2 linked regions of the Astyanax mexicanus genome follow. The protein of the gene in region 2 purifies or fractionates together with the protein of the main gene of each other region. This does not show direct contact. Links are inferred from orthologs where the notes say so. Each region holds a gene or a part of one and is shown on either strand. Other genes may lie near its edges.

What was found.
Region 1: the proteins of slc9a6a (region 2) and mblac2 purify together in Homo sapiens (co-immunoprecipitation; 3 studies listed by BioGRID and IntAct, counting the BioPlex papers as one, with this or other methods). This does not show direct contact. The link is inferred for Astyanax mexicanus from reciprocal best matches to the Homo sapiens genes SLC9A6 and MBLAC2.

What each region holds. Positions count from the first base shown.
Region 1 is NC_064429.1:22,497,428-22,510,378, forward strand, and holds the start of mblac2 (metallo-beta-lactamase domain-containing protein 2), read right to left. Parts: upstream 5,331-12,951; 5' UTR 5,213-5,330; coding exon 4,771-5,212; intron 1-4,770. Other genes in the region: polr3g (DNA-directed RNA polymerase III subunit RPC7), read left to right, coding at 5,699-5,809, 6,119-6,248, 6,885-6,953, 7,033-7,138, 7,514-7,639, 8,591-8,903; lysmd3 (lysM and putative peptidoglycan-binding domain-containing protein 3), read right to left, coding at 11,161-11,826, 12,138-12,401. UniProt on the Homo sapiens protein: Acyl-CoA thioesterases are a group of enzymes that catalyze the hydrolysis of acyl-CoAs to the free fatty acid and coenzyme A (CoASH), providing the potential to regulate intracellular levels of acyl-CoAs, free fatty acids and CoASH.
Region 2 is NC_064417.1:46,678,817-46,692,008, reverse strand, and holds the start of slc9a6a (sodium/hydrogen exchanger 6a), read right to left. Parts: upstream 5,394-13,192; 5' UTR 5,236-5,393; coding exon 4,956-5,235; intron 2,972-4,955; coding exon 2,772-2,971; intron 2,395-2,771; coding exon 2,317-2,394; intron 1,655-2,316; coding exon 1,578-1,654; intron 1,493-1,577; coding exon 1,380-1,492; intron 47-1,379; coding exon 1-46. Other genes in the region: mmgt1 (ER membrane protein complex subunit 5), read left to right, coding at 9,016-9,094, 10,579-10,631, 10,736-10,839, 11,689-11,845. UniProt on the Homo sapiens protein: Endosomal Na(+), K(+)/H(+) antiporter. Mediates the electroneutral exchange of endosomal luminal H(+) for a cytosolic Na(+) or K(+).

The sequences.
Region 1 (12,951 bases), on a different chromosome or scaffold from region 2:
GTACTTTTGTACTTTTTTTTAATCAGCCACATTTCAAAATCATCTGTAAAACTCTTTACTGCTGTTTGTCAGCCCTACTGACAATCACTGTACTTTTGAGGGGAATATCCAGTCAGTGTTGTTCAACTCTGCTTCCCCTACAAGGCACATTCTACAAATATGTGAGTTTGAGACATAAATGTGAGTTTGGTACATAATCTTAACTTACTATTATTACTAATATTTTTATAAACACACAGAGCGCAGGGATTTCTACACTAGATAGTAGTAGGCTAAATCCCTATCCGAACGGGATTAATTTCTCAGGAGGATGTCTGTGAAAAATATTTCATACTTCTTCTCAGTGATAAAAACTCTTGTAATTGCAATTAAAAAAACAGGAGGACTAGTGAGATTTTTTTGCTTTCATGGTCACGTGCCATTACGGTGTAATTACGGTGCTTGGCAGTGGACAAATAGCTACTTTATTAAACGCAAAGAGACGAAACTCAGAGATGTGCCTCCGGACGGGACTAAAATTACCAGAGGACCACAGAGTTCAGCGAAAAAAACAGTAGATAATTCAGCCTGTAATTTTCTCAGAGGACGTCTGAGAAAAACATATACATGGTCAATCCGGACGGGAATAAAATCACAGAGGACCCCCCCATTAAAAAGAAAATGACCCCAGGACGCCCTAAGAAACTAATCTCGTCCAGATAGGGCTTAAGCTGGCCTTTGGTAGAACTTGGTCATTCTAGTTGTTGGGATGCATGACGAAATCAGAAATATATTGGTATCTGCGTATAACTGCTTTGTTTAGAAATCATTGGTGTAAGCTGATATGGCCAATATTTAAAGACAACACTTGCTGACATGCTGACAGAGCTTTCAGACCTCAAATAATGCAAAGTAAAAAAGTTAATATTCACATTAATATTCAGTTTTAAGAGTTCAGAAATGAATATTCTGTGGAATAACCCTGATTTTTAATAACAGTTCTCATGCATCTTGGCATGTTCTCCTCCACCAGTCTTACACACTGCTTTTAGATAACTTTATGCCACTCCTGGTGAAATAATTCAGGCAGTTCAGCTTGGTTTGATGGCTTGTGATCATCCATCTTCCTCTTGATCCGATTCCAGAGGGCCACAATTCCCACATTGGTGCATCCCTACCTTTTTTAGCTTGCTCAGCTTAATTATGCTTGTAGACCAGCTAAATTATTAAACAGAAACAAAAACATACCTTATACTGTTAAAAACTAGGCTGGTCAAGAAGCCTAACAAGTCTGACTAGCTTGGGCTGGCCATGCTGGTTTTTTTTTTTTTTTCGGCTTTGTATGACAGTGCTGTGAAATTAACTGATGATAAAGGTGATGGCAGATGAGCTTAAATACATCCCTACTGAAATTTGCATTTTGCTTTGAATTCTGAAGGTATTATTATTACCATCTTACAAGGTGTTACTATCTATCCCATTTATTGCCAACTTGAGAAGCTAGTAAGAGCGTACTACACAGGAACGTTTGATATGGTTAGAGAAATCACACTTTATGTTGGAAATTCGGGCTGTACGATATTGGAAATGTTTTTTTTTCTGCATTATATATTTGCATTACAGATTTAGAAATACAGGAATTTGTGCTGGGTGATATGACATTAAATCAATATGACAATTAACTGAATATTTTACTTTAAATAACAACATATACTGTATTGTTCTTTAGTACAAGATGACAGGGCAGGCTCATGAAACTACACACACAGTAGTATGTCATTAAGGGGACATGCATGAACACACACACAATGAGGAAATATTAACAATATTTAAAGTAAAAAATGAAACAATCCACCAACATAATGGTCAAGATATCGCTCACAGTTTCAATTTTGATTATTTTTAATTATCTGCCCTGCCCTAATCCAACTGCATAATTAATAAAATTATACAGCTGTCCAATATGGTCTGACACAATACTATTGCCAGGATGTTGGACTATTGTTAGAAATACTTTAAAATATTGTGATATCATTGTAGTGTCATATAAGCCATCAGGGTTTCAAGCACTTTATGCTAAGGATATTACAGAACCTATAACAAAAAAGGCTAAAATAAAGTATAATATCATGGGCATATTTATTATTCTTGCACTGGAAGCTACACTGTTTTGCAGCACTTTCTCTGGTAGAACTGTGTAGCCCACCACCTCAATACACCACCTTCAGACAGATAAAGAAATCACATTAGGCCATATTAGACTTGGTTCTCAAACCACAGGCATTCTCCTTTTAAGACAAGCGCAAGTAATCTGATTGTGTTTGATTCCTCTCCAGATCTTACAAGGCGGGTCAGAATGAAGTCATGCTGCGATGCTCTGTTTCCCAGAGCTGAACATGGAATACGCCTGTACTGCAGATTTCAGGGTTTTCTGCTCAAACACGCACATTTAACCTCATTACAGCCTTTTTAGAGAGCTGAAGAGTGACACTAGGCTTTTAAAGAGCTGAGAAAACACTAAAATGTTCTGTGAAGAATATCCAGGGTCAGGAAATTGAGACAGATAGCAATCTAGATTTGATCCTGATGGTCTGCTAAGATTGAGATCAGCAGAAGATAAAAAAGGCTAATACAGTAATCACTAACGCTGCTCTAGCAGATCTCAGAAACAACCTTAATCTACTCCACTACAACCATCTTAGTATTTGCCTACAAGAATCCATGATTAGCTGCAAGCTAGCTTCTGCTGGTGGCTAGTTTCAGATGGGTTTAGCAGATAGTCAAAATATATATTGCTATTGCAGTATATTAGTGCATAAAAAAAAAGAATATAAATGAAAAGTTATTTTATTTTAGTTATTCAGTTCAAAATGTGAAACTCACATTATATAGATGCATTACACGCAGAGTGATCTATTTTAAACATTTATTTATTTTATTGTTAATTATTATGGCTTATAGCCAATAAAAACCCAAAAATCAATGTCTCAGAAAATTACAATATTATATAAGACCAATTGGTACATTTGGCAGTGTGGGCAGTGTGCCAAATCCTACTGGAAAATAAAATCTGCATCTCCATAAAGAGAAAGCATGAAGTGCTGCAATATTTTCTGGGAAAACACTGCATTGACTTTGGACTTGATATAACACAGTGGATCAACACCAGCAGGTGACATGGATCTACAAACCATCACTGTGAAAATTTCAAATTAGACCTCAAGCAGCTTGGACTGTGTGTCTTTTCACTCTTTCTCCAGACTCTGCTCCCTTGATTTTCAAATGAAATGTAAAATTTACTAATGATCAGTGATAATTTGGAGAGACATGTCATCTGCTGGTGTTGGTCCACTGTGTTATATCAAGTCCAAAGTCAACTTTTATGGAGATTAGGATGCAGATTTCATTTTCCAGCAGGATTTTGCCCACACTGCCAAAAGTACCAACTGGTCTTATATAATCTAATCTTCTAAGACACTGATTTTGGGGGTTTCATTGGCTGTAAGCAATAACCATCAAAAATAAAAGAAATAAACGCTTAAAATAGATCACTCTGTGTGTAATACACAGATTGAATTGAATTACTAAAATTAAGTTACTTTTCAATTATAGTGAGATGCACTAGTATTGTATAGTTTCGACTGTATTGTATTATAACAATGATGTAGCATCAAATATCTATATTTTATTCATTTTTTTCGCCCCCCAACTTGACTTACTAAAGTTGCTGCTTGGTTACTCCAAAAAGTGGCACTAATCAAAACAATATGATAATTTAGCTGTGAAGAATATTGGTTGTCAAATTATGTGAAACTGACTGTGAAACATCTGGTATTTGCTTATTTAGGAGTACTTTTTCCTCTTCAGTAACACTGATGCAGTGAAATATCTTTATCGTGGCCAACGAAACGTGATATATAGTAAATATGTCCCGTGATTCCCACTATTAGACAAAAAAAACAGTTTAAATTCTGGACATCTAGATAAAAACATACCATATAGCCAATTGATAAGCTAGCTGGTTAACTACCCAGCTGGCAATCAACGTTGATGAACATAGATGTTATGGTTGAATCGACGTTGAATGAACGTTGTTTTTGAAAAGTGAATCAACGTTGATATGGCAACGTTGTTTCAACGTCATACGTTTAACCTTTTATAAACCATAGCTCACTAAAATTAGAAAATCCTATGGTTAACAAAGTGTTAACAATAAACTTACATCACTGTAGTAAAGCTGAGTACAAAGAAAGTTACCCAACACTACCAATCTGATTACTGAACATCTGATCTCAAAAACACTACAAACAGTAAAACTATTAATACATGAACATGATGTTAAATTAAAATAGAAATAAAACACCTTTTCATTCCTCCATCCAATTTTTAAAAGAAATTCTATGGTGATGAAATGTAAAATGCTGATTCAAAAGGGAGAAGGTTGAGGACATTATGTTGATTCTACGTTAAAATTCCAACTTTAGCACAACCATTGAACATTAAATGATGACGATGTAACGTTGTTTCAACGTTGAAACAACAACAGAGCTTACTTAAGTCATATTTCAACCACATTTCAACGTTGAAGGTCGGTTGTGTGCCAGCTGGGTAGAGGGAACTAATGATGTATTTTATTTTGGTAATGTTGGTAATGCTGGGAGACCAACGTGGTCCAGCTTTGCCGTCCTGATTATCTAGTTTATTCAGGGTTTTCATGCTTGAATAACCCCTTTAAAATCTAAGATGCTGCTGGCCCACACTAATGATAGGCTACATAGCTAGGTGACACACCTTCCTGTAATATGTGAGTAGGCATCACCGCCTTCACTTTGTACCGCCTGGCCGTCCACCCAGGGGACGGGTTCTCCACGATCTCGCGGTCAGACAGCCAGGTCACCGTCTCGAAGTTGTCTCCATTGGCCAGGGCATCGACCTCGGCCTCGTGCACGCCCACCTGTTGAAACTGGTGCAGCCCACCCGAGTGATCGAAGTGGACGTGCGTGCCGATGGCCAGCAAGGGCTTTTTCCGCTTGGCGTCTTCCCCCAGCAGGCCTTTGGAGCTGATGTACTCGGGGAGGCTCCGTAAGCCCAGGCCGGCGTCTATCACCACGTCCTGGTGGGATCCGCGAAGGAGCCAGATGTTAGCCCTGTTCCCCGACTCGTAAAAGCGCTCCTGGATCCAAAACACGCCGTTATCCAGCGTTTTATGAGCGTACCAGTCCATTGAAGACATTGACGCTGTCGTTATTTGCGAAAAAAATCGATTAAACAGCCGAAAAACTGCGATATTCCAACAGAAATCCTGCTACCGAGCACTGCAGCAGACGCCCGCAGCCATGACATTAGCTACATTAGCAAACAGGAGGGCGGTGCAGCGGTTAACGCCCCTTTCTTTTCTCAGGGCAGCGCTGATTGGAGGACGTGGGTGCGCGAGGCAGAGTCAAGCTGAAATACGATTGGTAAAACGAACTCGAACAAGCCCCGCCCAACTCTTCAGCTCACATATAAAAAGCACGCTCTCAACGCCTCTGAAATTCATTTAAGATATTCGGAAAAAATCTGTTGAAGCTGTGAAAAATAGGGATACATTCTGTAATCATGTGAACGACGTTTTACTCTCAAACTCTACTAAAAAAAAGTTGTTTTGGACGTTGTAGCTAATAAAAATAGAATAATAGTGAGAAAGAAAGAAAGAAAGAAAGAGATATAGAGGACCATCATGGCAGGGAGAGGCAGGGGAGTAGCAGCCTTTACCTTCAACATAGAGGCCCTGGGGCTCAACAGAGGATCCATGCCTGAAACCCAGAGAGGCCCACGACCCATGTTCCCTGTGAGTCTATAGTCTATAGTCCTCTGTTGTCTCCTTTGTTTGAATTCTAAAAGGTTCATTTAAGCTGGCTGCTAAATGCTTAGCTCAAAAACTTTATAATGTTTGAACACCATAAAATACATTTTTGAAAGTTTGTAAGAATTTAAAAATGTGGAAAAAATTATGTGTTCTGAATGTCTGTCTCATGCTAACCCTACTGTGCACCTACATATTGAGAAGGCAATGCTAAAACGAGATATATTGTTTTTATTATGTGCCTGGTTACACAGATGCTACGTCACAGTCCCAAACTTTGCATCTCTTCTACAGGAAGTCGAGTTCAAACCTGTGCCTCTAAAGGCTGGTGAGGCTGAAGACTACATGTTGGCTCTGAAACAAGAGATCAGAGGGAAAATGAAAGGCCTGCCTTTCAACATAAAGCCCCGCTCCAGCAAGAACAGTGAGTTACGCTCTCTCAGATTTAATCACAGCAAGCTGTAATGCATGGCAGCTGTACAGCTGCAGCACTTTAGATAAACCTTTTTAACCACACAACAGCAGGCAGAGAGGTGCGGAATCCCTTCACACCTCTGTTGTAAGGGTTGTGAACTGTGGTCCGGTTCTTCTTCAGTGTAAAACAGTATAACACTTAAGAGTATTATCAGCCTTTAAAAAAAGAAGAAAAAGAACCAGGTACTCAACAATAGAGGTGCAAATGCTTAGGCAGGTGATCTCTGTATTTACTGTAGCTGTAGATTAACTACATGCATTTATTCACAAACAAAAATAAAAGACATTTGAGGGTAATGCACACAAAGGGAGTCTGATTTTGGCAGAGAGGGGTAATTCAGCACAACACCTGGAAAGGCAGCTTGCAGAACTGAAAACATTCTGCAACACAGTGTGAAGTATAGAGAGATGTAGCTGACATACTGACGATAATGATGACAGGATGTAGGAAACTTATTTATTCTGCTTAGCAAACTGCAGTGTGAAACTGAACCTATCTGGACTAACTGGTGTTATATTTTTATAGTTTAAACATGAAGCTGTGAAAGGTGTTTGGACATTTTGTGACCTTTTTTTTTTTTTGCAGACGTTGAAAAGTACAAGGAAAAATACGTCAAGGAATATAGTAAAATTGGTGATGAAGAATGGACACCAGGTATCATCTTCACCTTTTAAACCAAGTGTATGATTGTTTGATTTCATATAAACAAATTTTGTCTCAATCTGATTTGCAGACTGGAACCGTCTTCCAAAGGAGCTCATGCCCCAGAAGAAGAAAATCATAAGAAAAACTGGTGCATGCACTTCATTTACATGTGTACATTTTTGTCAGATGTTACGGTATGAGTGCCATTTCTCAACAACATGACCTTTTTACAGATTCTAAGAAATCCAAATCACTTTCGAGCAATGATAAGGAGGTCTTACTGTCTAAACTGGATGTAAGATTTTTTTTTTTTTTTACATTTGTTTTGCCTTCTTTTCTTAATTTTTGTCTAAAATGGATTTGAAAATTACAAACACCTTAAAACAGTTTTCCAGACAGGGATTAAGCTAAGACTTGGACTACACAGCATTTTAAATAGGGATTTTTACATTGAAAAGAAAATCTATGACCAGGCTTAAACCCTGTCAGGAAAACCACTCTTTGTGTATTAATTTAATTCTTAAAATTAGAATAGATCAATTCTCTATCCATTTGGTCTGTTTTTAAAGGAACTGGAGAAGAAAGGGGATGATAAATCAGACGAGGAGAAAGAGGAAAGTGGCAAAAAGAAGGCTGGTGAAGAGGATGAAGAGGAAGTTGAAGGAGAGGAGTTTGATGAAGAAGAGCTTGAGGAGGTAAAAGCTTAGTAATGACTGTTAAACACCATGGGACAGTTTTCCAGACAGGGTTAAGCCTAGTCTTGGACTAAACAATATTTTGAGTGGAGATTTTCCCCTATTGAAAGTTATATATTGTACAACCTGGCTTAATCGCTTTCTAAAAAATGCCCCATATGCTTTGAGTATTTTTAACAGATACAGCCCTGTTTCATTAATTGAAAAACCGCAATATCAAACTGAGCTAGATTTTTGTATTTATTACTTTTGTATTTATTATTAATATTATTATTATTATTATTATTAGTAGTAGTAGTAGTAGTAGTAGTAGTAGTAGTAGTAGTAGTAATTAGTAGTATTACCATTTCTACTAACAGAGGTATTCTTTGTTGCTATCTTCAGTTAAAGTATTAACATAATAACCAGTGTATTTATCATAAGCTCTCTACTGTCCATTATAAACTCCATATTTTACATTTATCTCATTCTATGAAAAAGCTTTTCAAAATCCATTGTAAAGCAAACATACATACATGTGCATTCCAGGTGACGTAGATTGTATTCAGTGAGTTTTTTTGGGTGAGTGGACAGATGGCACATTTACATGGCCTTTTTGGTTGATTTATTGATTCTGTAACTCAGCAAGGTTCTGATCATCGTGCTGCCTGTAAAATAATATTTTAGGGCAACATTACAGATGCCATGCTTGGGTTATGTGGGCGGAAGGACGTGTAGCAGAGTCCAACGGAACTGGTTCACTGCCTGGTTCACTGTATCTTTACCTTCTAGTGTACCTATAATTATACCTAAAAAGATTTAATATTCACACATTATGAATTATATATTATATATATATATTTTTTTTTTAACCTACAAAATCAAATCTGCATGTTGGAACACAATCATTAACTGTTGTGAATACACTATGGAATGATCTGGGAAATGTTGCATTCCTTCCCCCCCCTCCAGGAGAATGACTACATTGCAAGCTACTTTGAAGATGGTGATGATTACGGAGCTGGCAGTGATGACAATATGGATGAAGCCACATACTGACTTGTATTCTTCATCATTTTCTGTATTCTGTTCTTTAAAAGAGACTTATATCTATGTTCTGTGCAATTGTGTATTAAAGTACAAACAAGATTTGGAGATTCAGGTACTAAAATATAGTTCATTTATTTTCAAACTGCAACTACGGTCTATAGGCCGAAGGCACATACTGCTCAAATTCCTTGTTGAACAAAAATGTCATGGTCAAGAGAAAACATTTACAATATGAATTTCCATTTAAGTAATTAAGAAACAGTTCAAATCACTGACCCTTTTTGCACCTGGTCACTTAATGGGACTAGTATCTGGATTGAATCCTAATTAAATTGATTTAATATTAGCTGCATGTGAGTATACTTGGTAGTCAAATGTGTCTCCGGTTAGTCAGACTACAATCTGACTGCTTTGGGAGATGAAATTATGCAAATTTACAAATTTACATATTGGGAGGAGTTGTGGTGGTCAAATGTCAATGTCTCAGACCACCTCTTGAAGCAGATTCATTTTAGTTATTTGTTTTAAATGCATATTGGGTGTGTTTACACTTCTATTTTTCCATGGCTGCTTGGCTTTATATAATCCAGATATAATCCTGATCCTCAAAGTGCATTAAGTGATCAGGTGTAAACAGGGTTTGCTGTGTACTGGCACAAGTTAAATAAGGATTTCAAAATTGCAGCTGGCAGACAAAAGTTTCGAGCAAACAAAGAACAAAACAGCAACATCAATACTGATTTTTGTTTCTGTAACTATGCCCATATTCTAGAATAAATTAGTGTGTACGCATGTATCCCTGATGAGAGACCCCAACCGTCTCAAAGTGATGTTTTGAATAGATTGTTGTTTTTTTTGTTTACTGTTACAGCAAACATTTAATAATTACGTAGCTATACATCCGCTCACATGGGGGAGGATAAAACTGTGCAAAATGCAATAAGGACAATCGCCTGTGGGAGCTGAGCCAGTTCTATCTACTTCAAACTTCACACCAAAGCAGTACCAAGCTCAAAAACACATGGCACTGTTCACATCATTTCAATCAGTCCAGCTATGGCATGAGAGGTTGATAATAGTGTCACAGAGTCTATAAATCATCCCTCATATTAAAGGACGAGTTCAACAGTTTTGAACCAAACACACTGTCATTATTATAATTCCACACCAATCACACTAGGAATGCCTCGACAGAGGAATTATGGATTTATGCACATGTACAGCTGTCTGGAGAAACATTCAAGTAATTAATTGACCTAATTTGTTAATTAGCACTGACTGATCAGATCTACATTCATATGAAATGTGTATCAAGTTGCTTTATATGCATTTTAAGAATAGTTAATCAAGTTAACTGTTAACTTAATTAACTTAGTTAATTAAAATGGTGTATGGTATCGGTCATGTATTTTTGGATTAGGTATTCTCAGAGTATAATCCAATCCAGTCATTTTACAGATCTAATCTGATACAGTAAAATTTAAAAAAGGTGGAATCAGGGGTGCTACTAGTTGTTTAGAATAAAAAAATCTTCAGATCAGACACCCCTGAAAAATGCGTCATAACCGTTTAATCCCCGCAAAAAAAACTCTGCCAGTGTTAGTATCTACCAATAGCAATAGCAAAGCCTGATGTTATCTTAGCTATCTTCCAAATCTTAGACTGCATCTGAGGTAGAGTAGGTCCTTGGTTGAACTGTCCTATGAAGATTATTTTTTCAGTAAATTAACTGATGTCTTTAATAATCTTAAACCCTATTCGAATGGGATTATTTTCTCAGGGGCATGTCTGTGAAAAATATTTCCCACTTCTACTCAGTGATAAAACTCTTACATCCGGACTGCAACTGAAGAAACAGGAGGACTAGTGAGATTTTTTGGCTTTCTCGTTCATATGACATCGCGTTCAGTAGCTCTTCCATTTCCTTCACTATTGTGTTTACATGTATCTCAATGGAAACGTGCACCCAAAGTGTAATTACGGTGCATGGCAGTGGACAAGTAGCTATTTTATTAAGCGCGAAGTGACGAAACTCACAAAAATTACTGGGTAATTCGGAAATAAATTTACCCCAGGACCCCCTGAGAAACAAATCCCATCTGGATAGGGCTTATGATGTAAAAGCAAGGCTGCAGGAAGTGCAGCCCACCTTTTTTACTAAAGATGTGTCAAAAACAGAGAGTTATGCCAGAAAACGTTGTCTATAGAACAAAGTCAAATTTGCTGAAACCCTTCTAAAAATGTTGATGTGCACTTCAAAACAGAAATGTCCCATTTTTATATATATTATCTTATCTAGCAACTATATTTTTATATAGAGAGAGAGATCCGGTTCAACAATATTGAACTCATCCTTTAAAAAAAAAAAAAAAAAAGTACAATACATATTACTTCAAGTGGTTCTGTCGAAGTAAAAAAAAAAAAATGCCACCAAAGTAATGTGTTGGTCCATGTCAACTGGTCCAAATTCCCAATTTGTATATTTCTATGTTTTATGTTTTCTGTCTCTGCCCCAGATCTGGTCCCTCAAGTTCAACAACTGGATGCATATGAGATTTCTGGTGAGGAACAGCCTTGGCCGGCGGCATAGCAGGAGGAGCACCAAAGGCAGCATGTGTAGGCTCAGGTCTAATGGACTCGGCGGTAGCGTGGTGACTAACATCCGACTTCATCAGCACCTCATAGTATAACAGGTAAAACACGGGTGTGACGATGCCAACGACGAGCATGATGGCCACTGCAGTCCACCACCTCATGCCCCAGTCTGCACCATAGTAGGGGTCCTTCCTCTGGACGGGCCTCCTCTCTGACTCTCCCAGTAATGGCTGCTGAGGGCTAAAAGAAGAAACCACCTCGCTAAGGCTGCTCCTGGAAGGACTGGAGGACTTGACGAGAAGTTCAATATCCTTGTCCTTCTCCTGCAGAAAACACTCAACGCTGTCAGTAGAGGAAGAAGAGGAGGGGGAGGGGTCCGTAGGTGGTTCAGGCAGCGGAATTTCCAAGACTCGGCGAACGCCACCGGGCGAGTCGCTTTTATATGGAGCTGTGTTGTGAGTTTCAGTGAAAGAGCTGAACCTCCTCACTGGGATCTTTATGGATCTCAGGGCAAAGAAGTCCTGCTCTGTCAGGAGATTGTTGGCTCGTTTTATGTCAGCAACCTGAGACACAACCAAAAAAAACAAGCGTTAATAACAGGCTGTCTAGTGTAATTTATGTATCCAGTTAATTACAGCCTATTGTTGTTGCAGTTGTTATTATTATGCAGTGCAGCACAGGACTATTTTAGTATAGTGCCTGTATAATGTTGAAAGGTTTAAAAAAAGTATACACGAGTGCTATTAAGGCAGCTTTTCAGGAACTTCTTTTTTCTATATGAATTTTGTTGTATGTTACCCTGCTACAAAAAACACAGAAAATGACAAGCCACAGAAAAATAAAACCCAGAAAAAAGAAACCACAGTTGACTTACCGAGCAGAAATACTGAAGAGAAATGCTAATCAATGTGTCGCCCTCCTTAATGTCCCTCATCACGTAGACAATGTCATCCATTCTCTCTCTCGAGGTACTCCTCCGAAGCCTCTCCCTGCCTCTGGAGCGAAGCTCGTAGCTCTCCACATCTTCCTCCGAGCACTCCGTCTCCGAGTTGTTCCCAAATATATAAGAGTGTCCTCCCATTGCAGGCTGCACCACTGTAGCAGACTGGAAGCCATTATACTGGTTCCTTCCAGTCATTTTCTTCCTATTGGCAAAAGCAGACAGCATATCAGTACAGTGCAAATACAATAAAACGCATCTTATCAACAGATAATGATTCACAATATGTACTGTTCCAATACACTGCACCTGATTGACTGACTAGTCACAGATTTAGTATAAGCATTAGTAATTAAAACCCAAATTGTAAATAACCTAAATTTATATTTCAGATAAGTGAAATTGCACATTGGACATTACTACAACTTAAAACAGAGTTTATATATATATAAAATAACTAAAATAAATAATAAAGGGATAGAGTATGTGTGACTAGTTTAAAAAAATGTCCAGGCTAGTCATAACAGTTTATTATGATGACATTAACTTTAAGTTAACAATTCCTAATTTATTTTGAACTATTGAAAACATTTCACCTAGATATTTTAATGGTACTGTAAATGATCACAATGATAAATAACAGAGATAACAGTTTAGAGAGAATGATATCTACTGTAAACCAATAGCAACATGATTAGTCATCATTACTTACAAGGTAGGGCTGGACGATATTGCAAAAATCATTATT
Region 2 (13,192 bases):
AGGTCAAAATCCACCTGCAGCTCATTGAAGATGGCCAGGACTGTCACTAGGAAACAAAGTTCAGAACACAAGCTTTAGTATTAAGGATCAGATTTAGAAATCATACTACCTGTTCTGATCCAGACAGGCTTTAAAACAATTAGGTATCAGCTAATTTACACCCAACGCATAACCATTACTTTTCCACAACTACACTAGTTGGCAATTTGACATTAAAAACAACAGTTAAGAAAAATGTAACATTTTACCTTAATTAGGATTAATGAATAGTTACTTTAAAACATGATTAACATATTTTTTTTCTTTAGTTAGGGTTTTTTTAAATGTCAGTTTCAATTAATTATCAATGAATTACCCAGTCCACAGCCTTTTTATTTTCTAATTAGTTCCCAGCATGTTCAAGCTAACGCACCTCAAGCTAACGCACCTCAAGCTAACGCACCTCAAGCTAACGCACCTCAAGCTAACGCACCTCAAGCAAATGCACCTCAAGCTAACGCACCTCAACCTAACGCACTTCAAGCTAACGCACTTCAAGCTAACACACTTGAAGTAGTACTTAAAGAGTTAAGGGTAACTTAAAAATTCACAACAAAGGTTAACAATCAACTTTTCCCTGAACTATAATTGAAATTATAAATAAATATGACTAAAGCTGTGTTGTTTTACATAAGTTGTGTTTGTTTTTTGTTTATTACAATACGTTTTTCGACTGCCTAATGTTTAGACAGGCCAGTTATCCTTCTGTCAAACTGAGGAAAACATGTCAGCTAGCTTAAAATGCAAACTAGTTTAGCATCTATGCATCACTAAATTCCTTAAGAAAGGACATGTGTTGTAAATTACCACACTGTAAAAATAACAAAATGAACATTAGAGAAGACGTTTTCACAAGTATCCATTAACTTTGGCACTTTTTTGCATAAATACCCTAAATGTATTTTAGTCTTCATTTAAAGAAAAAGCAATTACAAAACTACTATTAATTAAACATTTTCAACCTCCCAGCATACATGACAATAAAGCATAATCTTGTTCAATATAATTTATTACATTTATGATTTTGCTGTTTTCACCCAAATCAATTTACATTTTAATTTTCATTTACAGCGTTAAGCTGACACTCTTATGAAGAGCAACTTAAATGGTTATTTTTATTACAGAGGAAGGCCAATGTAGTGCCAATAGAGTCTGCCCCAGGGACTCTTATTGGTGTAGAGCAGCACCCAGTCACCCAGACCGGGAATTGAACCCCAGTCTCCCACATAATGTGGTAGCTCACTGGCAGGAGGTGCCGCACCAACCACCACTGCCATATATTCATTGCATTGCTAGTGAACTTCATTTCACTACATTTGTGAAAATAGCATAAGACGCACCTGGGTCGGTAGCTGACACAATGGCACCAAAGAACAAGCAGTCAGTGAAAAAGAAGTCCCCATCCATTTGGCCAATCTGCTTCATCAGCGTCACACAGCCGTACATCAGTAACCTGAAATGGCAGCAAAAATCCTCCTTTTAAAATGAGCTGCTGAATGCTGGTGAATTCAGAAAGGCTGTTTTAAAAGTGCACAAACCCAATGATGAAGCAGGACACCACTGTTCCAACAAAGGCATACGCCAGGATGGAGCCCATGTTCCTGAAGAAATGTCTCTGAAATAAGGTGAAAGACAATGAATTTCACTAATAGATTATAACAGGGTTCATACACTTTTTAGCCAATAAATTTCCATGATTTTGTTTATGATTTTCCATGCCGTCAAGGCAACTTTTCATGACAATATGATTTAAAACATCAGTGCAGACATGGACAATAAAAGCAAAAAATCACTAAAACTATAATTAAAATTTACTATAGTAGGCCTAAAATTAATCTGATTAAAATCTTTAATAATAAGATATGTGTCAGATCCTGAAAGGTCCATTGCGTAGGGTTAAATTACTGAATTACTAAACTCTGTGCTGATGTATTTGTTAGCTCAAAATAGATTTTTTTTTTCCATCGATAAACAGAAACAGAAAGATTTGTAAACCAAACTTTCATAGTTTAACCAAAACTTTCTGAGTACATTTATTTTTCCAAAACTAATTCAGGCCTGGAAATTGCTATTTTCCAATTTCAAAGACATATGGCAATTTCCTGGCTAGTTTTGCTAGTCTTGAGCATTTAATTCTGGTATTTATACTTCAGACAGTCATGAATCTGATGCACTCGCTTCAAGTCAAGCTCTCTTAAATCTAATTATGTGGCCAGTTTGCTACTTAGTGTGACGTAGTCTAAGCTGTCCCAGTCTAAACAAAAGAAGAGTTCATACCCGTTTGAGACTGTACCCAGCGTGAAATATGATTGGAGGCAGGAGAATATTGAAGAACACTTCAGGGTCAAAAGTTACCTAGAAGAGAATAAGATATGACACACTGATAAGACTGTACTACAGTCAGGTCAATATAAACACATTACTTCAAACTGTTTGAAACATGTGATGCATTACCTCAGCTCTGACATGTGACACACCAGCAATCAGAGTTTTTGACTTTGCAGTAAAATAAGGCTAACAGCATTAAATGTCAACAAGAATAGAAGGCTGCTAAACTAAAATGATACACATTATCGAGTCATAGGGTTATAAATACAGTGTTAGACTCATCTGATCCACAAGAAAAGCAGAATAACACTTGAAATGTACTAAATCACTTAGTAAAGGTGAAGGAGAATTTTAGAGAAACCCTTTTTTAATATATTTTTTTCAAATATAAGTAATTCTTTTACCTTACGAAGCATCTCGTTGTCCTGAACATCATTGATTTCATTGGCACTGATCTCACCCTTTAACGTATACTCATAGAACTTGCCACTGACGTTGACCAGCAACGTAGCTGGACTGGAATTGACGTGGCAGCTCATAGTGACGTTGTTGATGTCTCGAGGTACATGGATCCCATAGCGCAGCACAACCCCAACAAGCAATCCTAATAACACAGAATAAACGAGTCAATATTAAATACTCTACTTGTTTTCTTTCTTCTGTTTTATATTAAGTGGCCTGTGTGGTTTTACACAACACCGAATTTTAATGTTGGTTTAATAAATTACAAAATGAGAACCTCATCTCTTCTCCTTTTGAGACCAGCTAAAATGGGAAATCTAGCAAAAATATCTCTCAAACAAGATTTAATATTTTTCACAACAGACATGCAATGACTATCAACACCACATATAAAGCATTTCCATACAATTGTGATTTTAACAAGTTAACTGTTCTGGGCTCAGTTTACCTAAAACCATCTTATCAATAAACCAGCTTAACATTAAGATAGAGAGTGCTCAGTATGAAGTTTGCTCAACCATTTAAGATTAATTTTAGTGCTAAGAAATCCACCCTTTCGTAAAACCCACCACAGGCTAGTGACAGTGTTTGGGACAGTGTATTAAACACCTTAGCCTCAAAGCTTACAAATCTTTAACAACAGAAAGTCACACAAATGGCAATAGCAAACTGTTTTAGCCTAAAATGCCACCAACAATGCAAATCCTAACTCTGCTCAAATCACAGAAGGAGTTTTTACTATTAGAAACTTTCACTTCCGATATCAGCTATGCATATTTACAAGCAGGCCGGTCATGATAATTACTTTATTGACTGATTGTATACAATAAATTGTCATGATCTCAATAAAATTTAATAATGGTTAGCATTGAATTTTTACTCTCTTTTATCTGAGAGACATATGGAACTACAATTTCTTCTAGTAAAAAGCCCTTACTGATGTTTCCCAACAGCTTATACTGTTTTACTGTAAAAGAGATTATTGATGATAATCTAAGGAGGAACCAAGAAGCAACATGTTTTCTCTAACTAGCTAAAGGGCAGAGATGTATTCTAGATGGTTCTCCGGCAGAATCTTTGATAGCTAGATTACTGTAGTCATGTCCAGCCTCTTATTTAACACACTAATATCAGTATATGGCGTGTGAACAGCAGCTGGGTCTATAGTTGTAAGGTAAATACTTGTCAGCGTAGGTGTTAGGGTCACATTTTCATCATAATAACTAGAAAAAGACACAGAAGCGCTGAGGACTCTAAAACCATATAAATAAAAGCCTTTTCTTTATAGAAATAACATATGAAGCCAGTGAAAGTGGTAAGTACTGTTTTATACCCCTCAAAAAAAGGGCTGGTTGACCCACATGACAATAGCTTTAGCCTTTATCTCAGCTTATTTACATTGGACTTAGTCTCTTCGGTTTCAGCAGTGAAGAGAAAACTTAGAGGTCTGACAGGTGAGTTGAGGTAGTAAAGACTTTAATAAGATGAGAAAATAAAAAAGCAGCTTGTCTGTGCCACACAGCACTAATACTGCACTACTAAACATAGTAATACAGCTCTGTGAAAAGAATTAAGAGACCACTTCAGTTTCTAAATCAGTTTCTATTTATAGGTATGAGTAAAATGAACATTGTTATTTGTTTATTGTATAATGTACCGTGGACAACATTTCTTCCAAATTCCAAATAAAATATTGTCATTTAGAGCATTTATTTGCAGAAAATTAGAAATGGCTGAAATACCAAAAAGATGCAAAGAAAACACGTTCATATTCATATTCGTTTTAAGAGTTCAGAAATCAATATTTGGTGGAATAACCCTGTTTTTTAATCACGGTTTCTATGCTTTTTCATGGCATGTTCTCCTCCACCAGTCTTACACACTGCTTTTGGATAACTTTATACCACTCCTGATGAAAACATTCAAGCAGTTCAGTTTGGTTTGATAGCTTCTGGTCATCCATCTTCCTCTTGATTATATTCCAGAGGTTTTCAATTTGGTAAAATAAAAGTAACTCATCATTTTTAAGTGGACTCTTATTTTTCCCAGAGCTGTATCTTCAGTTAGATCCTGGATGCTGAATGTAAACATCCCCCACTCTAATCAGCAGCATCAGCCGCTCTTACCGTAGATCATGGCCAGGCCCGTCTCGTGTAGGAACCTGAAGCGGCGGTGTTTGAAGAGCCATATGGTGAGGATGGTGAGGGTGAGGAGCATGATGAAGATCAGCAGGTCTGCGCTGTCCTGTCTGTGGCTCTCCTCAGCCTTCTTCTCAGTCACGATGTTCTCCATCGCGCTGTCCTCAGCCCCGCAGCCGCGGAACAGCGCGCACAGGCCGGCTAACAGCGCCAGCAGCAGCGCCCCTCGAGCCCCGGCCGCCGCCTTCACTTTCCCCCCGGATCCCATGCTCGCCTGTCCTGCGGAAGCTGCAGGTGTGAGGGTCGCGGGTTCGGCGGAGGATCAGTAAACCATAATAAACCCGCAGGAGGAAATTTCAGCTCCGGCAGAAAAGGCTGAGCTCTGTTCCTGATTCACAGCCGCTCCGCCCCGCCCCCTCGCTCTGCGTCACCGCGCTGGAGGAGCGCTCCACTGTTACTAGCGCGCGTTACTGCGGCGCACGAGATGCGCAGCCACTGCGCAGAATATTTTAATATAATTTTATATAATATTATAAAATTTTATATAATTTTTATATTTTTATATAATTTTTAAAATGTACTACACACTTGGTCTAGGGCCCGAAATGTTTAACAGTCAATGTGCAGTAAAATATACATTGTGGTTAATCGACTAATAAAAAAAACCCATCAGATTAACAAAACAGAGACATAAGGTAAACATAAATAATGACTATTCATTATATATGTTTACATTATGTCTCTGTTTTGTTGTCTTCATCATTTGTCTTCAACAAGTAACATAAAAACAAGAGGTACAAATGTAAATAAATAAAGCAAAAAAAGTAATTTGTAGATGTTTGTATGGCTGCAACTAATGACTATTAATCTGATGATTAATCTGATGATTTTTTTTCTATTAGTCGATTAACCACAATGTATATTTTATTGCACATTGACTGCTAAACATTTCGGGCCCTAGACCAATTGTGCAGCTTTTAAAAGTTTGATAGAAACTATATTATAGGAAACATTTGCACAGGCTGGATGTAATTTTCAGGAGATTCTAGGATATGTATATGTTTTCAATTGAGATGTAAATATTAACAGATATGTAGTTACTATAACATAATTTTTAATGGAGCGGACAGAATACAGTATTTCCCTAACACTTAGCCAGGTAATTTAACTAGCATTAGTAATCTTAATGAAGGAGTTTAACCCACTATATATGTGTCTTCCTCACTTACCCCTTTTTTCTTTCGAATGCTCTCTCTCCCGCACACTCTCTTTGCTCCTTCACGCATTAAAGGTGCGTCCACAATTAAATTCTGTGTCGACAATTTTTTATAGTCTAGTCGTTGCAGCTAGATGTTTGGTAGAATATTTATTTATGGTACAATGGTTCGTTTGGCAATAAATCTTATTGCAGATACTAAAAAGCCTGTTAAGTTCCCTTTTAAAAGGACACTAAACTTCCTGCTGCTGTAGCTCAGCCAATCAGCTCTTTCTCCTGTTCTGCCTCTAAACCCATACATCACCCAGTGCCCTGCCCAAACTGCCCATTTGTTGAGATGATTGTTGCTAAATGTTGAATACTTTTGTACTTTTTGGTACAAAATCCTGTAAACATGGTTGTGGAAAAACTCTGTGAAGTGTAGGTCTTCTTCTTACAGTGGTGGCCTCACTTTGCTTTGTTATATTTTTGTAACTTTTTTAAACTGCTTCCCATATCGTCGCTGTCCTATGAAAAACACTTATGTCCAATTTTTAGTTTACTACATAATTTGAACAGACAAACTGTCCCTTACACTGTGTCAAAATTTCTTAATGAACGGACCAATAGAAACTCTTCAAAATGACCTGAAATATACTCTTTTTACATTGACTTCCACTGAAAGTTTACAAGGTTTTTTCTCTCTCCTGTAAAGTTGCTGTTTTAGAGATAAGTGTTTTACATTGGACAGCGACAATATGTTTTTCACTGCTGTCATATTTTCCTTCTCTGTATGACGTTTGTGAATTCCATAAAACTCTTTTTAAACAGCCCTGTTTGTAGCCAGATGTCCCCCTGAAGGACCCACAACATTTTATCAGCAATACAAAACACACCAGGCCCTATTAGGAATAAAAACATATTTTGAATTTCTCTTTTAATAAAAAGGAACACCCCCAGAACATGGGATTTCTGTAGAGGAAGTGAAGGGACAATACAGGAGGCCCTTAATTCAGGTCAGGTACTTTTTAACCAGACACTGTTTATTCATTCCACACAGGCTCTGGCGGAACCACAGCGGAGAGGTCTGTGATAGAGTCTGGCATTCAGACAGAAACTGAGCACGCTCTGAATGAAACTTTCATGTGTTTTTTCATCTTGTGCTCCAGACAAATTAAGGCCACAGATTAAAGACGGGTGTTTGTAGTAGAGAAGAGAGCCACACCAGTGTACAGTGTTTCTTCTTTATCTCATAATTAATATACTTTAAGTGTACCCCAGGTGTTAGATCATGGGGGTGACTTTAAGACTTTTAGATATTCATTGTTTAAGAGCTTACAGCTGGGAAGCAGCAATGGAAATAAACTAAGCTTTGGAAATGGATTTTTAAAAATGCAGTCTTGCAGTATTTGAACAGAACATTGTTACTGCATTCTCTACTGAAGCATTAAAACAACAGACAGCACATTCACACTTTCATCATGATAACCAGAAAAATGCACCTATGTAACTATTAAAAGAAGAAGTCTTTTCTTTAGAGAAATTACAGATGAAGCCAGAGAGCGAGAGTACTGTTTCTTACACCTTCAAAAGACTCTTGGAAACTGTAAAAAAAGAGCATATTGTAAAAAAAAAAGAAAAAAGATATTGTTAAAAAAAAGAAGGGTTTATTTTTTAGCAAACAAGTCATTGGTTAACAGCTTACAGCTGGTAAGTAGCAATGAAAATAAAGCCTACACACACACACATATATATATATATATATATATATATATATATATATATATATATATATATATATATATATATATATATATATATAATATATATAAATATATAAATAAATATATAAAAAATATACATATATTTATTTATTTTTTATCTATCTATCTATCTATCTATCTATCTATATATATATATATATATATATATATATATATATATATATATATATATATATATGTGTGTGTGTGTGTGTGTAGGCTTCATTTTCATTGCTACTTACCAGCTGTAAGCTGTTAACCAATGACTTGTTTGCTATATTGTCATATATAAATATATATACTTTCAGACCTGAATTACCTTCAGTGATGGAAAAAATGTAAGAATGCTGTTTTCTCTGTAATGCACAGAAAAGAAGACTCTAATATTCTACTATAAAACCTATATAAGCAAAAACATCCAATAAACTAAAATATTAAACAGGGTTTTTATTTCCATTGCATTGGAACCTGTGTGTAATATATTTCATTATGATCTTTAATCTTTTATTTTTAATATTTCATTAACCATCCTTAAACAGTAAAAAAAATAGCAAAAACTAGCTGTTACTTTGCCTCAATGGCTGTAGTATTACTGTTTTCCCAGTGTTTTTGCAGTGGGCGGGGCCTGGTTCATGGTCTATTTTAACGGACAACAGCAGCTCTTAAATAGTGTTATGAGCAACAAAACATTTAAAAATAGAGAAAATACACGATGTTTTAATAGATACACGGTCTGAAAGGGTTAATATATGTAATGGATTGTTTTACGTGTGGTTTCTATTTAATTATGGTTTCTATATTATGTAAGATATTGAAAATAATACAATCACCCCTGTGCATTTAATAAATAAATATATATTTAACAAAAATATATATAGTATTCTTCAGTACTAGAAAATGCATGTTCATGCTAATAACGACAGGTGCCATTTTTAAACCGTTAATATTTTTCAAAATAAAAGCACGGAGGCTGAGGCGACATGTTTGGCCTGGATTTCTACTCCCGACCAAAACTCTTATTTTGACAGGACGCTGGGTAAGGGATGCTGCCCGTTGCTCAGTCAGCGCTCAGTGCTTCACTCAGTGGAAAATGGCTTCGTCCTTTTGGAAAGGCGTCGTTGGTCTGGGCCTGTTTGCGCTGGCCCACGCAGCGTTCTCGGCGGCACAGCGTGAGTAGTGGTGCGGGGATCGGCTGTGGGGGCTTGTGTTAAATTTTCTAGCTTTATAAAATGGTGTATACGGGCTTCGTGGCCTGTAGAGCTGGCGGGTTAGCTTAGCTAGCCGGAGTGCTAAAGCTGCGCTGCGGACTTAACGGCGGCGGCAGCAGCAGCAGCAGCGCGTTCAGCCAGACCCTCAGTTACAGCTATAGCTAATTATACAACTTACATTGAGCAGCTTTAACAGTCTACACACTGATATTATTATACTTATTTATACTGTAGTCAGCTAGTTTTAGCTGTGTTTATTTCACGGCAGACTTTATAGATTTATACGTGTGTATGCGGTTCAGGCTAGATCACAGCATTTGCATTAGCAAAAATGCTAGCTAAGCTATATAAGCGCTTAGAAGATAGATACTGGCTAGTTAACGCTAGGTTAATACAGTAGGATTTGTCTCATGTAACGTTAAACGTTAATTAACGTCTTTTTGAGGGTCAATTAAAATAAATGTCTAGAGAATATGGTGTTACAGTTAGTTAATTAGCTAAGTTAATGATGTCAGCTATAATTATACAAAGCTATAGCTATAATTACTAACTTACATTGTGCAGTTTTTACATTTTATTCAGCCATTATCATTTTTATTTTAATGGTTAGATACTGAAAAAGAATTTTGATTAAGGAATGCAACTAATGATGATTTTGATTAGTCTGTTGATTACTTAATTAATCGATTATTCTTTGGATATAAGGAAAATATGTTTATTAACTCGTTGTAGCCCCAGGCAGCATTTTAGAATGTGGCTATTTTATTTAATGTCATCTCTAAAACAGTATTTTTTAAATTTGTAGTCCCAGAGCAACATTAAACAGTAACACACAAAGCAGTATTTGATTAAAATTCTCAAGAAATATAAAAATGCCATAGTGTTAATATAATTAATTCAAGCTATATGTAATATATTAGTTCAAATATTGTTTTTATAATGAAATATTTAAGAGAACCTTATTGTATAAGGAACAATTAATCATTAGAATTAATAATTGATTTAATCGATTGGTTGTTTTAGTCCAAATTTGATTTCTGGTGAAATCTGTTTAAAATTACTGTATTTTTGCTTATATGTAAATACGTATCTTAGAAATGTATTGCAATGTTATTTTTCCCAATATTGTCCGTCTAGTCGTAGAAAATTGGGCCAAAATTTATACCACAATATATATTCTGTATAGTATTTCTAGCTATAATATAATTCCAATATTGATATGAACAGCATAAAAAATATGAATTTTGTTTGTCATGTGGAAAACTGCCTAAGTGCTTTTCAGAAAGCAGAACAGCTTCACTGGCAGAGAGGAAAGATTAGTGCTGTCATTACAGAATGATTATAGATGGATCACATTTCAGCATATTCCCAAAAAAACCAAAACCTTTTGTTCAGCTTTTGAGGACATTTAAAATTGATCACACCAATTGTGTTTTTTTTTCTAGATCGATCATACATGCGACTAACAGAAAAAGAAAATGAGACTCTTCCAATAGATGTAAGTTCTTTTTCTTATCATTTTAAATGTTAAATGTGTCAGTTTGGTAAAAAGTGAAATTTTGGAGTTATTATTTCTGAAATGTGTTTTTATTCTGTTTGCAGATAGTCTTACAGACGTTATTAGCGTTTGTGATTACATGTTGTGGAATAGTCCACATCTCTGGTGAGTTTAAAGACATGGACGCTTCTTCAGAGCTCAAACACAAGTAAGTCCAAGTAATAATAATAATAATGTCATCTGAACTCTAAGGCTATGTTTACACAGAAAGTGTAGTGACCCAATACGATTTTATCACCTAATCAGTTGTTTATTTTGGTTTGTGCACACTTTTTAACTTGACCTATATATTACATTTGCCTGAATAGCTGACACTGTAAAACTGATGAGCAGTGCTTCACATAAAGTTTCAGTTTCATCTTTACCAACATCGCAGGAGCTATCAAAGAGTTTCAGTGGCTGCGGCTGGAAAAAAATCAACTACGGTTTAAATCCTGTTTATGTAGTTTGTCATCAGCTACCAGAGCCCTGAGAGAGCCAATTGGCCTTGCTCTCTCTGGGTTGGTAGATGGCGCTCTCTTCCCACATCACTCGTAGGGTGATATTGATCAGCATAAGGCATCTGTGAGCTGATGTATCTGAACCGAGTCGCTGCACTTTTTGCGCTGTGATGATACTCGGAAATGCTGCATCAGCAACAGTTTTAAAAGAAGTGGAGTCTGACTTCTTATATATCGGAGGAGGCGTGTGCTAGTCTTCACCCTCCTGGTGTTGGGGTGTCATTAGTGATTGGGGGGGTCCCAATGAGTGGGTAGAGTAATTGGCCTTGTAAATTAGGGAGAAAATAGGGGGGAAAAAAGTTGAAGAATTTTTAAAGAATTTGAAATAACATACCACATAATATATCCCTTGCTTACAGTACCGCAGTGTATCGCCATGTATTGAATCGTAAGCCCTGTATTGTGATGCGTATTGTGTTGTCAAGTTTTGCCAATACACAGCCCTATTAACAACATTACTCACCTTTTTTGTCTTTTTGCTCCCCCCTTTTTCCCAGGACATTTGACACGTTGAGAAACCACCCCTCTTTCTACCTGTTTAATCACCGAGGCCGGGTGCTCTTCAGCTCACCTGACCAAGAGGCTGCCACTCCGTCTCCTCAGGCCTTGCCCTCCAATCCCCTGCGGTTACGCAAGCTGGAGAACTTTCACTGAGACTAGCCTTGAAAGGGCTGCCTTGCCCGTTTTGCCCTTTTCTCCTCTCTGCATCAGTAAGCTCCTCGGTTGGAAAGGGAAGATCAACCTGTTTTTCCTTTCACTTCTCTTCGTGCATATGTGACTATGCTGTACAAATCTGCATCTCTTCATCCACGTGATTATTACTATTACTTACTACTACTACTACTACTTCAAAGTCTTTGGACTGTGCCAACTCCTCTTTTTTTTCTCCCTCCAACTCCTACATTTGTTAATGTGGTAGTATTGTGTGGGAGTCTTAAAGCTCTGAAATGCACATCTGTTCCCCTTCAGATGGCAGACAGAGAAGAGTGACGTCATCCTGCTGTTGCACAAGGGGCACACATCCCCGTCACCCTTACCGTTTGGTTTGCCACAATTCCTGCTGTGCTGCCATGTTTTACTGAAATATGTTTTTGGATTTTTTTTTTCTCTACTCCATGTGATCTGCTCAAAGGAGGCTGATACAATGGACCATTGCTTGTATGTGTTTTCAGATATTATGTATATGACTGATGGACTTCAAAAAATAGCATTTCGTATGCAAATAATACTATTTAAGGATTTAAGGTTAGAGAAATTAATAAAACGATGTCTGGTCGGGGGAAAAGAGAAGTAAATAGGTTTAATAACGACATTAACAATACTGTGAACATGCAGCTAATGGTACACCTGACTTTATTGGGTGGGTGGGAGCACTGTTTTGTTCTGTTTTTGTTTTTTTCATTTGTTTTATGTTATGATGCATCTGATTATTTCTAACTTAATAAAATAAAAACTGAGATTTTATTGATGCATTTGGACCTAAACAAGTTTGCTCTTCGTCACTGACCCAGGGATTCTCTTCTGTCTGGTCATATGACTGATTCTACCACGGTGTACGGTAGGGATGCACAGAAATTACGGCCAGATTTTGGCCAAAACTGATGGTCTATGCCTAATCTCTGGCTAGATATACACTGATTTTACTGTTTACCGTTGCATAGATTTAAATAGCCTAAAAAAGCATTTTAAAAATCTGTGTATTTAAAGGAACAATAAACCCCTTGATTTTAGCTGACTCCACCCTCAGCTCAAATTTGAAAAAAATTAAAGGGGAAGTTTGGAAGGGGCACTGGGTGATGTATGGGTTTAGAGGTGGGAAAGGCAGGAGAGCTGATTGGCTGAGTTGCAGCAGTGTGCCTCTGTTAGTGCTGAGGCGTAGTTGATTGGACGCCAGCAGGAGGGCGGTATTCTTGATTGACTGATCTGCATATTGTGATGTGTCTGAGTACCAAAGTACACAGACACATCATTCTTGCCTATAGCACAGTTGAACCTGAGAGA